Nothobranchius furzeri: one gene and its partners. The protein of the gene in region 1 interacts with the protein of each later gene in a pairwise test. Links are inferred from orthologs where the notes say so. Each region holds a gene or a part of one and is shown on either strand. Other genes may lie near its edges.

The links.
Region 2: the proteins of epas1b (region 1) and bmal1a interact in binary tests that used the Homo sapiens proteins (3 or more experiments, as listed by UniProt). The link is inferred for Nothobranchius furzeri from reciprocal best matches to the Homo sapiens genes EPAS1 and BMAL1.
Region 3: the proteins of epas1b (region 1) and ikbkg interact in a two-hybrid assay, tested with the Homo sapiens proteins (2 studies listed by BioGRID, with this or other methods). The link is inferred for Nothobranchius furzeri from reciprocal best matches to the Homo sapiens genes EPAS1 and IKBKG.

The regions. Positions count from the first base shown.
Region 1 is NC_091752.1:43,774,091-43,778,350, forward strand, and holds the start of epas1b (endothelial PAS domain-containing protein 1b), read left to right. Parts: upstream 1-1,388; 5' UTR 1,389-1,620; coding exon 1,621-1,646; intron 1,647-4,260.
Region 2 is NC_091744.1:85,112,732-85,116,382, reverse strand, and holds part of bmal1a (basic helix-loop-helix ARNT like 1a), read right to left. Parts: intron 3,267-3,651; coding exon 3,237-3,266; intron 3,157-3,236; coding exon 2,999-3,156; intron 2,287-2,998; coding exon 2,207-2,286; intron 2,119-2,206; coding exon 2,026-2,118; intron 1-2,025. UniProt on the Homo sapiens protein: Transcriptional activator which forms a core component of the circadian clock.
Region 3 is NC_091755.1:44,542,044-44,546,169, forward strand, and holds the start of ikbkg (NF-kappa-B essential modulator), read left to right. Parts: upstream 1-1,232; 5' UTR 1,233-1,257; intron 1,258-1,430; exon of another isoform or gene 1,431-1,755; intron 1,756-3,090; 5' UTR 3,091-3,092; coding exon 3,093-3,231; intron 3,232-4,126. Other genes in the region: tmed4 (transmembrane emp24 domain-containing protein 4), read right to left, coding at 29-154, 228-328, 955-1,144. UniProt on the Homo sapiens protein: Regulatory subunit of the IKK core complex which phosphorylates inhibitors of NF-kappa-B thus leading to the dissociation of the inhibitor/NF-kappa-B complex and ultimately the degradation of the inhibitor.

The DNA of each region.
Region 1 (4,260 bases):
TAAAGATAGGATTTTAAACCAAGACAAAATAATAGTTACTAACAGGAAAAGTAACATTTTTATATAGTCTCCCACAGCAGCTGCTTCTAATTCAAGTGGGACGTTAAAATGTGTGTATTAGTTAATAATTGTTCTGTTACAGTGATAAACTATTTATAAAGATCTTCAGATAAGAAAAGCAAGCCTTCAGTATAGAATTTTGTTTTTGTTTTTATTGTTTGTTAGCTGGCTAGCTTCACGCTATGTGCTGTGAGATTGCAGGTTCAATCCCAGCTCCGGACAGAGAATTCTGCTGTTGTGTCCTTGGGCACGACACTTAATCCACCTTACCTGCTGGTGGTGGTCGGAGAGACCGGTGGCGCCAGTGCTCGGCAGCCTCGTCTCTGTCAGTGCGCCCCAGGGCAGCTGTGGCTACATCATAGCTCATCACCATCAGTGTGTGAATGTGTGTGTGTGAATGATACACTGTAGTGTAAAGCACTTTGAAGTCCTTACTCTGAAAGGCACTATACAAGTGTGGGCCATTTATCATTTATCACACGTTCACTACACTGGGCTAATTTCTGCTTCACAAGTTGTTACAAATAAACAAAAATATGTCAAAATCTTTAACTCAGATTGGTTTATTTTTACGTTTTGAGACAGAGGAGAAGTAGCTGAAAAGTTTTATAAGTGTATGTAAAACTGATGCCAGCATTTTTTGATATTTCATTTAAATTCTGATATCAGTCGATATCAACCCTCTGGAGGCAGACGTTGCAGATTTGCAACGTTAAAACCTACCTACCTAGTTACTCCACATATGTATTTCATGAGCATTTTTAAACTCAGAAGTACCCCTGAAGGACTTAGTTGTTCGTCCTTTTATCAAAACTTATGTTGAGCCTGAGAAGGTTAATGGTAGAAGGATAAAATCAAACAGTTTTAGTATCTGTTGAGACAATTGCTCCTGTCATCGCTGACAGTGTAACTAACAGGAGTTATTACATATTTATTAATGTTTTGGTTTTGTGGTGAGAATTAGAAATGATCAGAGAAGCATGTAACAATTCTGGTGAAGATGTGCACACACGCGCGCGCGTGCACGAGAAAATAGAAAATATACAATACATGAGAGCCTATTAAGATACTAGTTTTCCATCATGTAGTAACCTGACGTGTAAAAGGTGTGCAGACCCGTGGCCACGCCCCGCCACATCCAGGTACAGGTGGGAGCTCTCAGTTCGGGGGTGGAGATGATTCGCCGTGAGGGGGTGGCTTCAGGCGGCCACCGGAGCCAATCAGCTCCCTGGGACTGCTGTCACCGGGCCAACTGACGTTCAGGTCAGAGCCCGAACCCTCCTGACCGCTTCTGGTCTCAGAGAACGGGGAGTTTTCCCACTGGCGGATTTGCGGGCGTTTGTGAGCGGGAGCTGAGCGCCACTTGAGCCTGCGCGGAGCGCTTCCTGTGCAGGGTGAGAGGCTGTACGATCCTCGGCAGTGTTCTGAGACCGTACGTCCCCGAACCCCCTCCGGACCGGATCCACGGACTAAATAACCCGCTGGGACTGCGCACATTGGCCTAAAAGCCACTGACAACCTTCTGAAGTTGGACTTAACTCAGACTGTCGGAGTTCCAACATGACGGCAGACAAGGAGAAGAAACGGTAAGATCATCAGAGTTGGTCTGATCTGGGATCTGCTGCTGCTGCTGCGCTCAAAAGCGACACAACTGTAAGAAAACTTGTGTCAGGTGCGCGTTTTGTCTTCATTTACATCAATTAGGCGCAAAGTAAAATCAAACGCCTTCATCATGAAATCGTTATTATGGCTTTTTATTTATTTATCTGCTGAGCTCAAGGGCCCTACTTGATGTGTTTAAGGTCTCCTGTAAACATGACTAACATGGAAGCTGTGGTTTCCTCCCATAAAACTTTACTGCAGATTTACAGGAAACCACTAGAAGGAAGGCAGGGGGAAGTCTAACTTTTACTGCAAGTTGCATAAAATCTGCCAAAAAACGGACGCTTTTCACGGAGATGCACCCAAAAATCAGCTGGCGACTGGAGGCCTTAATGTGAAACTCAATTATCCAATTACTTTTCCGCCTTTGGTCTGTAAATGCATCGTTCAAATTAGCATCAGTAGGTCTAACATTTAACTTCTGGAATCTTACGTTTCAAGCTCATTTGCTTTATTCAGACTTGTTGCGTTAGCCCAATTTTTGTGCAAAATGCATTTAGAGACGCACAAACAGATTCATCCGGTGACCCGAATCGGCGACGTTCAGCCGGATCAGCCTCACTGATGGAACGGAATTCTTATCTAAAAGCAGTTGTTCCCGGTCCCTGACGGCACCGTCACTGAGGGCTCAGGCACACTAGCTGTAACAGATCTTCCAAACTAATTTTTCATGCTAAGATAATCGGATTTTCATCTTTAACAAACTGGAATCATTCAAACTAACCACATCAGTGCAGAGCTGAGCGAGAACGAGGATCAGATTAGGTCTACCGCATCGTGCAGAAAGCTTATTTTAAAGGAAGATTTTTTTCCACCTCCAGAGCTGAGTGTGATTTTGACCTCTGACCTGCATCGAGCAGAACCAGGTTGTCTGTTCAGGTCAATCAGCTTGGTGATTGCAGCAGCCTGCTCAGACCTTTAGGTTCTTCTTGATGAGCCTTCCCCTGCTGGAGATTACATCTGTTTAATCTGAGTCTTGATTTCTGTTGGAACGTTCAAACCGCTGCGGCATTTTCCCAATAACACCATGATGTTGTTGTTGTGTAAGCTGAAACCAGCTCGTCACACTGACTGGGAGCTGTTTTAAGGCTGGGGACTAGTGTACAGATGGTGTGGGGGGGCAGCATGGCCCAACATCTGTGCTGGTTTCAGCTCGTTTTCATCACCACAACAAACACTTTCCAAGCTCAGCTGTCAGAGGCACAGTTCACGTCTTAATCAAGACGTTAACTGTGTTCGTCCAGTGGATCGGAACCAGAACCAAGCAGGTCCTTAGACTGGAACTCCAAAGACTTAAACGCTCAAACACACGAGATAAATAACAGACTGTGTGTGTGTGTGTGTGTGTGTGTGTGTGTGTGTGTGTTCTACCGTAGCTGTGTTCATGACCCTGATAAGTTGTGTGATTCACCGCTGCAGGTTTGGCTCAAATGATCCCGATGAGTTTTAGCTGAAGCTGATAGGTTGGCTGCTAGACTCCAGGTGTTTAAAATCAGGTATAAACATTTTGTGTATTTGCTGCAGTGGAGAAGCAGATTATTTTTGTTTCGTGTTTTAGTTTTACTTCAACTCGTGTTTTCTTTTATTTCCGACTTTTTATTTCGCTGCTGAGTAATAAAATAAAATAAAATAAAATGAAAAACTGTTAAAATGATTTAGTCATTTTCAGATTTACAAACAAGCTTTTGTTTTATCGGGTCTCCCATATGTACTTCCTACTCTCCTTGTTAAAGTCACACGTGTCTGGTGCTGTTTTCACTATGTCAGCACTAACACACAATCACACACGTGCATGGGCACATACACACACACACACACACACACACGTACACACACACACACACACACACACACACACACACACACACACAAACACACACACGCACAATAAAAGTAATCTGGTTTCATCACCATTAAACACACAGATCATTTAAAATGTTATTTCTGCATGTTTTGAACATCATAATCAGGAAGGTCTCATATAAAATATCAATTAAATACCTGAAGATGCTCTTATTTTGATGAGTTAAACCTCTTACTAATTATGTTGACAGCAAACCCAGTAATCACCTTGCTAAGAAACAACTTAAGAACAAAACTGCTTTTTATTATTTCCACTCTGACTAATTTACTTTGTGCCACAAACAACAGACATAATAAAAAAGTTCAGCAGCTTCAGTTTTAAAGTGGTCAGAGGAACTGGTGGTGCCAGTGTTCAGCAGGCCTCGCCTCTGTCAGCGCGCCCCAGGGCAGCTTCGGCTACATCGTAGCTTATCATCACCAGTGTGTGAATGTGTGTGTGAATGTGTGTGTAGAAACCTAAGAAGGTGCTAAACACAAACCATTAGCCATTTTTACCAGCTGGGTGTTTATTTTCTAATCTCTGTCTCTGCTGAAGTCTGACTTAATCTGTGGTGGTTTAGACACCAGCTTCTGCTTCGCCACAGACCAGAACAGTCCGGGTGTGGTTCTGATCACCAAAGACATACTGGTGGTTTCATCACATCCGCAGTGTTGGCTTTCCTGCTGCTACTGACT
Region 2 (3,651 bases), on another chromosome or scaffold:
GCTCAGCTTAAACCATCTGGCTCCCCTTGTGATGTGCTGCCCCCTAGAATTGATAAAGAACTCTTTCCAGTGATAGGCCCTTTGCTTTTGGCAATCATAAATGGCAGTCTTACTTCTGGTATGGTTCCGTCCTCGTTTAAGAAGGCTGTTATTCATCCTATGTTAAAAAAGCCGGGACTGGATGTGACAAACTTAGCTAATTACGGGCCCATCTCAAAACTCCCTTTTCTTTCCAAACTGCTGGAGAAGGTCGTGTATTCACAGTTGGTTGCCTTTATGGACACAAATGATGTATGGGAGACTTTTCAGTCAGGGTTCAGGGCAGGTCACAGCACTGAATCTGCTTTTAATGGTTTTTAATGACACGTTTTCAGCCGGTGACATGGATAACAATGTCGTCCTACTATTGCTGGACTTATCTGCAGCTTTTGATACAGTCGACCACGAAGTCCTTCTGGACCGACTACAGCATTGGGTGGGTATAGCTGGGCAGGCCCTCCAATGGCTTCCCTCCTACCTTCATGACAGGACATTTAGTGTTCAGATGGGTGAGGTGACGTCACCCTGCGTGAGACTTTGTTGGGGTGTGCCACAGGGCTCTGTCCTTGGTCCTCTCCTATTTGCAGTGTATTTGCTTCCTCTTGGAGTCCTCCTTCGTCGGCATAATGTGAAATTTCATTTTTTTGCTGATGACTGCCAAATCTATCTCCCTCTTCGACGTGGGGAGGATAGATCTGTTTCTCCTTTACTGCACTGTTTGAAGGACATAAAATGTTGGATGGCTTCTAATTTTTTGCACCTAAATGAGAGCAAACCGGAAGTCATAATACTTCATCCTGGCAGAAGAAATGGCTCAGGTGCTGATATTGACCTTGGCCCATTGACCCCCTCTGAAAAGAAAATAGTAATTTGGGGATAAAAATTGACTCCTCACTTAATTTTGACACTCGCGTAAATACGGTGGTGAGGTCCTGTTTTTTTAATCTGAAATGACTATCTAGGATCAGGCCTCTGCTGTCCAGAGCTCATCTGGAGTCTGTGTTGCATGCATTCGTCCTGTCTCACCTGGACTACTGTAACGCTCTGTATGCCGGTCTGGGCCAGTGCACGGTTGCACGGTTCCAATTTGTACAGAACTCAGTGGCTAGGTTCCTGACCGGTACTAGATGTCGAGATCACACTACTCCAGTGCTGGATGCTCTGCACTGGCTCCCAGTGCAATATCGAGCTAAATGTAAGATCTTAACTCTGTTTATAAGGCCCTCCAGGGCAGTGCCCCCTCTTACATTACTGCACTTTTGCACAAGTATGAACTTCTGGTGGTCCCCCGGTCGAAATATCAATCGAGGGGTTATCGTGCATTTTCTGTTTTGGCTCCAACTCTGTGGAATGAATTGCCATTGAGCATTAGGCAGGCGCCGTCCCTTCAAGTCTCGTCTAAAGACTCATTTCTATTTGATTGCTTTTCAGCGCTAGGGTTCATTGAATTGCCCTGACATTATGGTTTTTAATACTTCTTTTTGATCAGGATGCTTGATCTTATTTTGTCCACCATTTGTTTTTAATTGATTAGTCTCATTCCGTTATCTCTCTGTATTTGTAACATTGCTTGCTTGTTATTTTATGATTTTATGTTTTTATCTTGCTCTTAAGCCCAGGTACTGGGAATGTTTTTATGATGATGCTGTTCAGCACCTTGGGCTTCTGATAACGTTGCGGAAGGTGCTCTACAAATAAAATCGATTGATTGAACAAAGTGCGCATGTGTCACCGGCAACTTCAGCAGATGATACGGTGGCTGGTAAGGGTCACCGCGCCTACACCGCAGCCACGGTAATCCACCGAGATAATATATGTTTTTAAAAACAAGATGGTTATTATTATTGTCAACCTTTTTTACCGGGGTTTACCGCTACACAGGTTACCGCGACGACCCTACTTCAGACCAGACACTCTTATTTTTATGGTTATAAACAAATGGTTGCACCTTTTCATCTACCCATGGCCTCTAAACTGTTAGCATACCTGGCTATAGTTGAGAATCTTGTACACAGACTCAGAAACAAAGAGGATTTTGCCGCGATCGCACCCAACCACGAACAGGAAGCCATCAGCGGCCTGCAGCGTTAAAACACACAAAATAATCACAGATTAATTGATTTCAGATGCATAATTTTGATATAGATTAGAAGCTCTTCGTGCTCACTCTTAGTATCAAATGCTTCAGCTCATCGTCTGAGAGGAAGGAAGGTTTGTAGTTTGCTTCGGTGTACGGGTTGGCTGCACCTGCATGCAATAAAAACAACTGAACTCCACCTGCACACATCAGAGCTCACATCCTGCTCCTGTTGGTTAATCTGAACATACTTCTACATTTGTTGATGGTCAACAGAATTAGTAGTGCTGGAATATCTGGCTCTGGTAACCCATTTCCATCCCCTTATCTTTATTTTGTCATAATAAATATGCCCCTTTCTGTAACCACGATACATTTTTTAACTGCTCAGGAAAGTTCCCGTGAAAGATGGCGGATTTTCAGCCTCCAATAAGAAAACAGAGTCAGCGAGGGGAAAAAAAGTCCTATCTTGAGCCGTTATCCTTTAACGCTCCATCTGCAATCGGAAACGAAACTACAGATTATCATTATTGATCGATCTACTCAGAAATCTGTCCTGTCGCAGCTCGATTATGAAATATTAGAGAGGAAAAATATCAACACAACACCACCTCGGTGAGCAGATGTTTGGCATTTCCCTTCAAAATATGAAAAAGCAGGAAGAACATCCTGTCCTTCCTTTAACACTGCCTTTTAATAAAGCACATTTATTTTCCAGCCATGACAGGAAGTGCGTCTGCAGCCAGAGTTGTCAGTATTATTTACTATAAACAGTCTTTTGCTTTGTTGCAATTCTGACAGTTAATGCGATTACAGAAGCCAGTGAGTGCACTTTTGTATCTCGCTCTGATGCGGTCAGCGTTCCCCGGGGCGGATGCTAACCTCTGAGCGTCTTCATGTGCTGGACAGCCATACGCAGGACAGTGAGCTTGTCCAGCTTACGGGACATGGCGTTACAGGTGGGCACCAGAGACGCCAGCTCATCAATGAAGCTGTTCATCTTGTCCCTCCGACGCTTCTCGATCTGACTGTGAGCCTCTCTGCAAAGATTTGAAACGGTGGAAATCTTTATTCAACGCAAAATCAATCAGAAGTTAAGATGGTATTTAAAAAGTATTACCTGGCATTTTTAATCCTGCCTTGTTGGTCGCTGAACAAAATAAACAGGACACATTAAAAGGGAACAGCTGGGTAGAACAAATCACACATTTTAAGGATTGAAGATTTATAGTTTTAACAGTTTTTTTTTAATTGGTTTCGGTCTCTTGTGATTTTAGTTTGTAATTAGATTTGATCTGGAACAGCGCCTTGGGCTTCCTGGTAAGGTGCTTTATAATAAACAACTCATTCAGGTTGTGCAACTTAATCACAAATATGCAGACAGGGTTTATTAAACTGCCAGAATCACACCGGGCTACGATTAATCATGCAAGTTTCAGGGAAGTCTAAAATGTCGCCAGGAAACCCGGTTGCTTTGGATGGGTCGCAACACACTTCGAGCAGGTTTCCGAGACAAAATTCATCCTAAAACAGTC
Region 3 (4,126 bases), on another chromosome or scaffold:
AGTCAAGCCATGGTCCTGGTCTCCGTACCAGCTTTCCTCCTGCAAACAGAGCCATCTTTGTGGAGTTGGAGTGCAAACAGATCTGATGCTCTCCAGGAGTGTGAGAGGTGAAGGTGAAGCGTCCGTCAGAGCCGTACTGACGAGAGAGGATGATCTGGAACGTGGAGGAGACACCTTCAGACTTACACCTCTGCTCTGAACCTCCAGACCTTCCTGTCTGGCTTTACCTTCGTGTCTGGATCCTTGATCTCTACATGCATGCCAAGGCCGGGGGTGGATGGGAGGAAGGAAGTGGTTTGTTTGTCCCACAGCTGAGTCCGGTACTTTCCTGTCACACACACACACACACACACACACACACACACACACACACACACACACACACACACACACACACACACACACACACACACACACACACGATCATCCACAAATTGGATGCCAGTAATAAACCAGCTTAACATCTGCTGTCCTGTGTTAGGACGGAATATTGGACACATGGATGTAATAATAGTATTTATCTCATAAAATCATCCCAGCAATGAATGAAATATTTAATAAACATTCACATTTATACCCCATCTCCTCTTTGCATTTAAAAGATTGTGTATTCATTTTGATATTTGACAGATCTTTTGTTTAGGTTTGATGGAAATACCTTCGTAAACAGGAAAATGTTTATTTTATTGATAATAAACAACAAGCTAAAGATCAATGGCCAAAAGTTGAATGTTTCCCTTAAATGATCTGAATTTTCAGATATTTAAACGTTATTTCTCCTCAGTGGTGAACAACCCGCAGCTGAAGCCTCCAGAATTTCCTGTCTGACTCGAGTCTCTAATAATAATAATAATAATAATAATAATAAACAACTATTGGTGTCATCTGCTGCATCTTTAAACAACCAGCTGTTAGCAAGACGGCTAGTTAGCTGCGTTAAGCTAACCGGCTCACCGATCACCATCGTCTCGTCTGGAATTTCTTCAATGAAGCATTTTTTCTCCGTCTCTCCGATGTGGAAATAAAGCGCGCCGCTGGGGTAAATCCAGGCCACCAGAAGAGAAACCGCTGCGGCAGAGATGGGGAGCATCTTCACCTCCTTCACGTTAGCGGACATCAAAATGCTGCAGCGCACTGACGTCATCTTCCACTACGGAACAAGGAAGGGGCTTTCCTGAGAACGGAGTGTTTACACCCTGGGTTAATACTGACAGGAGAGTTTTCCTCTGCAGCGCTTAAAGATACGATGTGCCACTGGTATTATTTAAATTCACAGCCATTTCGATTTGATCACACACTTGTAATTTGTCAACTTTTTTATTGTTCATTTGTGTTAATTAAACGTCTTAAAATAAACGACACGTTTTTCGATGTTCGAGTCACGGGTGTTCTGCCTACAAGGCTAAACTGAGGGTGATATATCACGATTTTTCCACGCTAATAACAGTCGAAAAGCTGACAGCTTACCTTTGGTTTGCCTCTGATTTACCTCTGGTAGTCTTAAACTCACGAAGGAAAGGATTCAAAACTGGACACATGCTTTAGGAAGGCCACATGATCCGTTGATGTAGGTCCGTGTTTATGTGAAACCAAAGGCGTCCGTTTGCCCAGCCGTTGTTGTGCTATATTAGCTTACTGAGCTAATTAGCTGTATCTCAGCTGTTTGAGTCAGATTGCTCTTTTAAACTCGGTGAAGGGAGTAGTTTGTGAGTCTGAGACTGGATAATTGTTGTTTACGACATAAAATTTAAAAAGGTAAGACAAGTTTTGTGTCTGTTAGCTGTGTGTTAGCTATGTTGTCTAAACAGTATTTAACGTGAGCTTTGCTGAGGTTATCGTGATGTTCTTCATAGCAGACACCTGATCTTACTTTTATGACAATGACAAGGCTGAGGTCCCATAAGAAGAGGTTGATGACCACCTGTTCTCAGGTGTAACTGTTCAGAAGGGCTTCTGGCACCTCGCCAATGAGCCGTGACACAAACCGGTCATATTAAACACAGTTAATTCACATTTAAACTGAAAGTGAAAGTTTCACGTTTCCAGATCCCCAACGGGGCTGAAACGTGTCCAGTCCCCCTAGACGTCATGCTCAGGTCTTACTTACACCTGAAATGTTCACTTGTTCCATGGTGGCTTTTAGGATCGTTTTTCATTTTATTTTTCTTTTAATCACATATTTATGTACTTCTTATTTTAAAATCAAACAGCACAGCCACGATTTGAGCCTGCTGTCTCTCAAATAATAACAATTTTAATTGAACAAGGACAATATTCATACAAGGGAAAAATATACATGCAGGAGATCCTTGTGACTTCCTGTTTTTTCATCTTTATGAGCCATTTGGTATGTTATAGTAATGTGAATTTAACAATAAGAACATGGTGATAACTAGAATTAGAACCATTTGTATTTCTGATATTTTTGTGCATTTGAAAGCGATCGGCTGTAGACTCAGATAATTGCTTGATTGTTCTTTTTTCTAATTTACTTCTGACTTCAATGTGTAGATTATTGGAAACCATATTTATAAGTAAGGAAGTAGTTAGCGAACCAGGGGAAACTTTTTTCTTACTAGAGCTACAGAAGCAGCAAAAGTTGCTGTTTTGTCTGTTGTTGCATTAGATGACAATCGGAGCGACCACAATAACATAAAAAAAGGAATAGAATAGACTTTATTAATCCCACAGTGGTGAGATTCACTCACTACAGGTGTGACGTCATAAAGCAGTAAAGAAGTGACTGAACTCTGCAGTTTCTGGGATGATTTTCTGTTGGTGGTGAAACAAACTGTTCCTGCCTCTGCTGGTTTGAACTGACCTGCAGTGTTGATGGTAACAGGTTTTTTAGTCTTTCTTACCAACGTACACAATATGTTTTAATTTGACTAACAAAAAAGTTTCTCCAATGCCCGTTTAAATAAATGCCACGAAGGCTGGATTTTAGACGTTATTAAAAAATGAGCTAAAAGTGTAACAAGTCTCCAAAGGAAACCAGGAAACAGGTTCAGGAACCGCCAGAGTCTGAGTTCTTCATATGAAGAAGTGAATGGATTAGATCTCTGTAATTCCCAGCCTTTGCTTCTGCAGGAATGGTGCAGCCGCAGCCTGATGGTCCGATGCAGTGGGACATGTCAGGAGAGGACTGCGGGGGGGTCCTCAGGGTCCCACCAGAGTTCGCTGGTAATGAAGTGGTGACCAGATTGTTGTGTGACAACCAGCAGCTTCGAGGTACCTAAAAACACACGACGGTCACGCTTGTGTGTATTACCAGATGCTCAGCGGGGCTTTTAGGTTTCCGTGTGTCTGATTTAGCATTTTCAGAAGTCGTTTAAGTTTAGAGTTATCGAGGTAAAAGAACAAAGTAAATTCAAACAGTAATTTCAGCCTTTACTGTAACGGTGATTGGATGCAGGAGCGGTGTCCACGACAGGCTGAGTTTATCAGGATCAACACATGCTGCTTTTATGCAGTTCCAGACTTTCCTAGATGACAATCCAATCCTTGAGTTTTTCAGTCTGCTTCTTGTTGTCGGCACAGCTCTGAATCTGCTCTTCTAGCTGTCCGTAGCAACATTTCTTTAGCTGCTGATGCTAAATCGGCAGCGGTTTTGGTTCTACTAGCCCTCTCAGCAGCCTCGACACAATCAACCACCCACTTCCTATCAGAATAGTATGTTGGCATTTGAGGTAGGAGTCAGTGAATCCTGCCTTGCTCAGCTTCAGAGGGTTCTGAGTGCTGCAGCTCGCCTTTTAAGTGGCAATCAAAGGTTTTCCCTCATTTTAGCCTCCCTGCACTGGCTGCTTGTTCATTTTAGGATTGATTTTAAAATGATTTTATTTGCTTTTAAGGGCTTAAATGGCCCGGCCCCTCCCTATCTGTCTGAGCTACTGCATCGCTACACGCCCGCTCGTTCGCTCAGGTCAGCTGATCACAGGAGTAGCTACTCCTCAACACGGATCAGTCACCCACACATTCACACACTGGTGGTGATGAGCTACGATGTAGCCACAGCTGCCCTGGGGCGCACTGACAGAGGTGAGGCTGCCGAGCACAGGCGCCACCGGTTCCTCCGACCACCACCAGCAGGCAAGGGGGGTTTAGTGTCTTGCCCAAGGACACAACA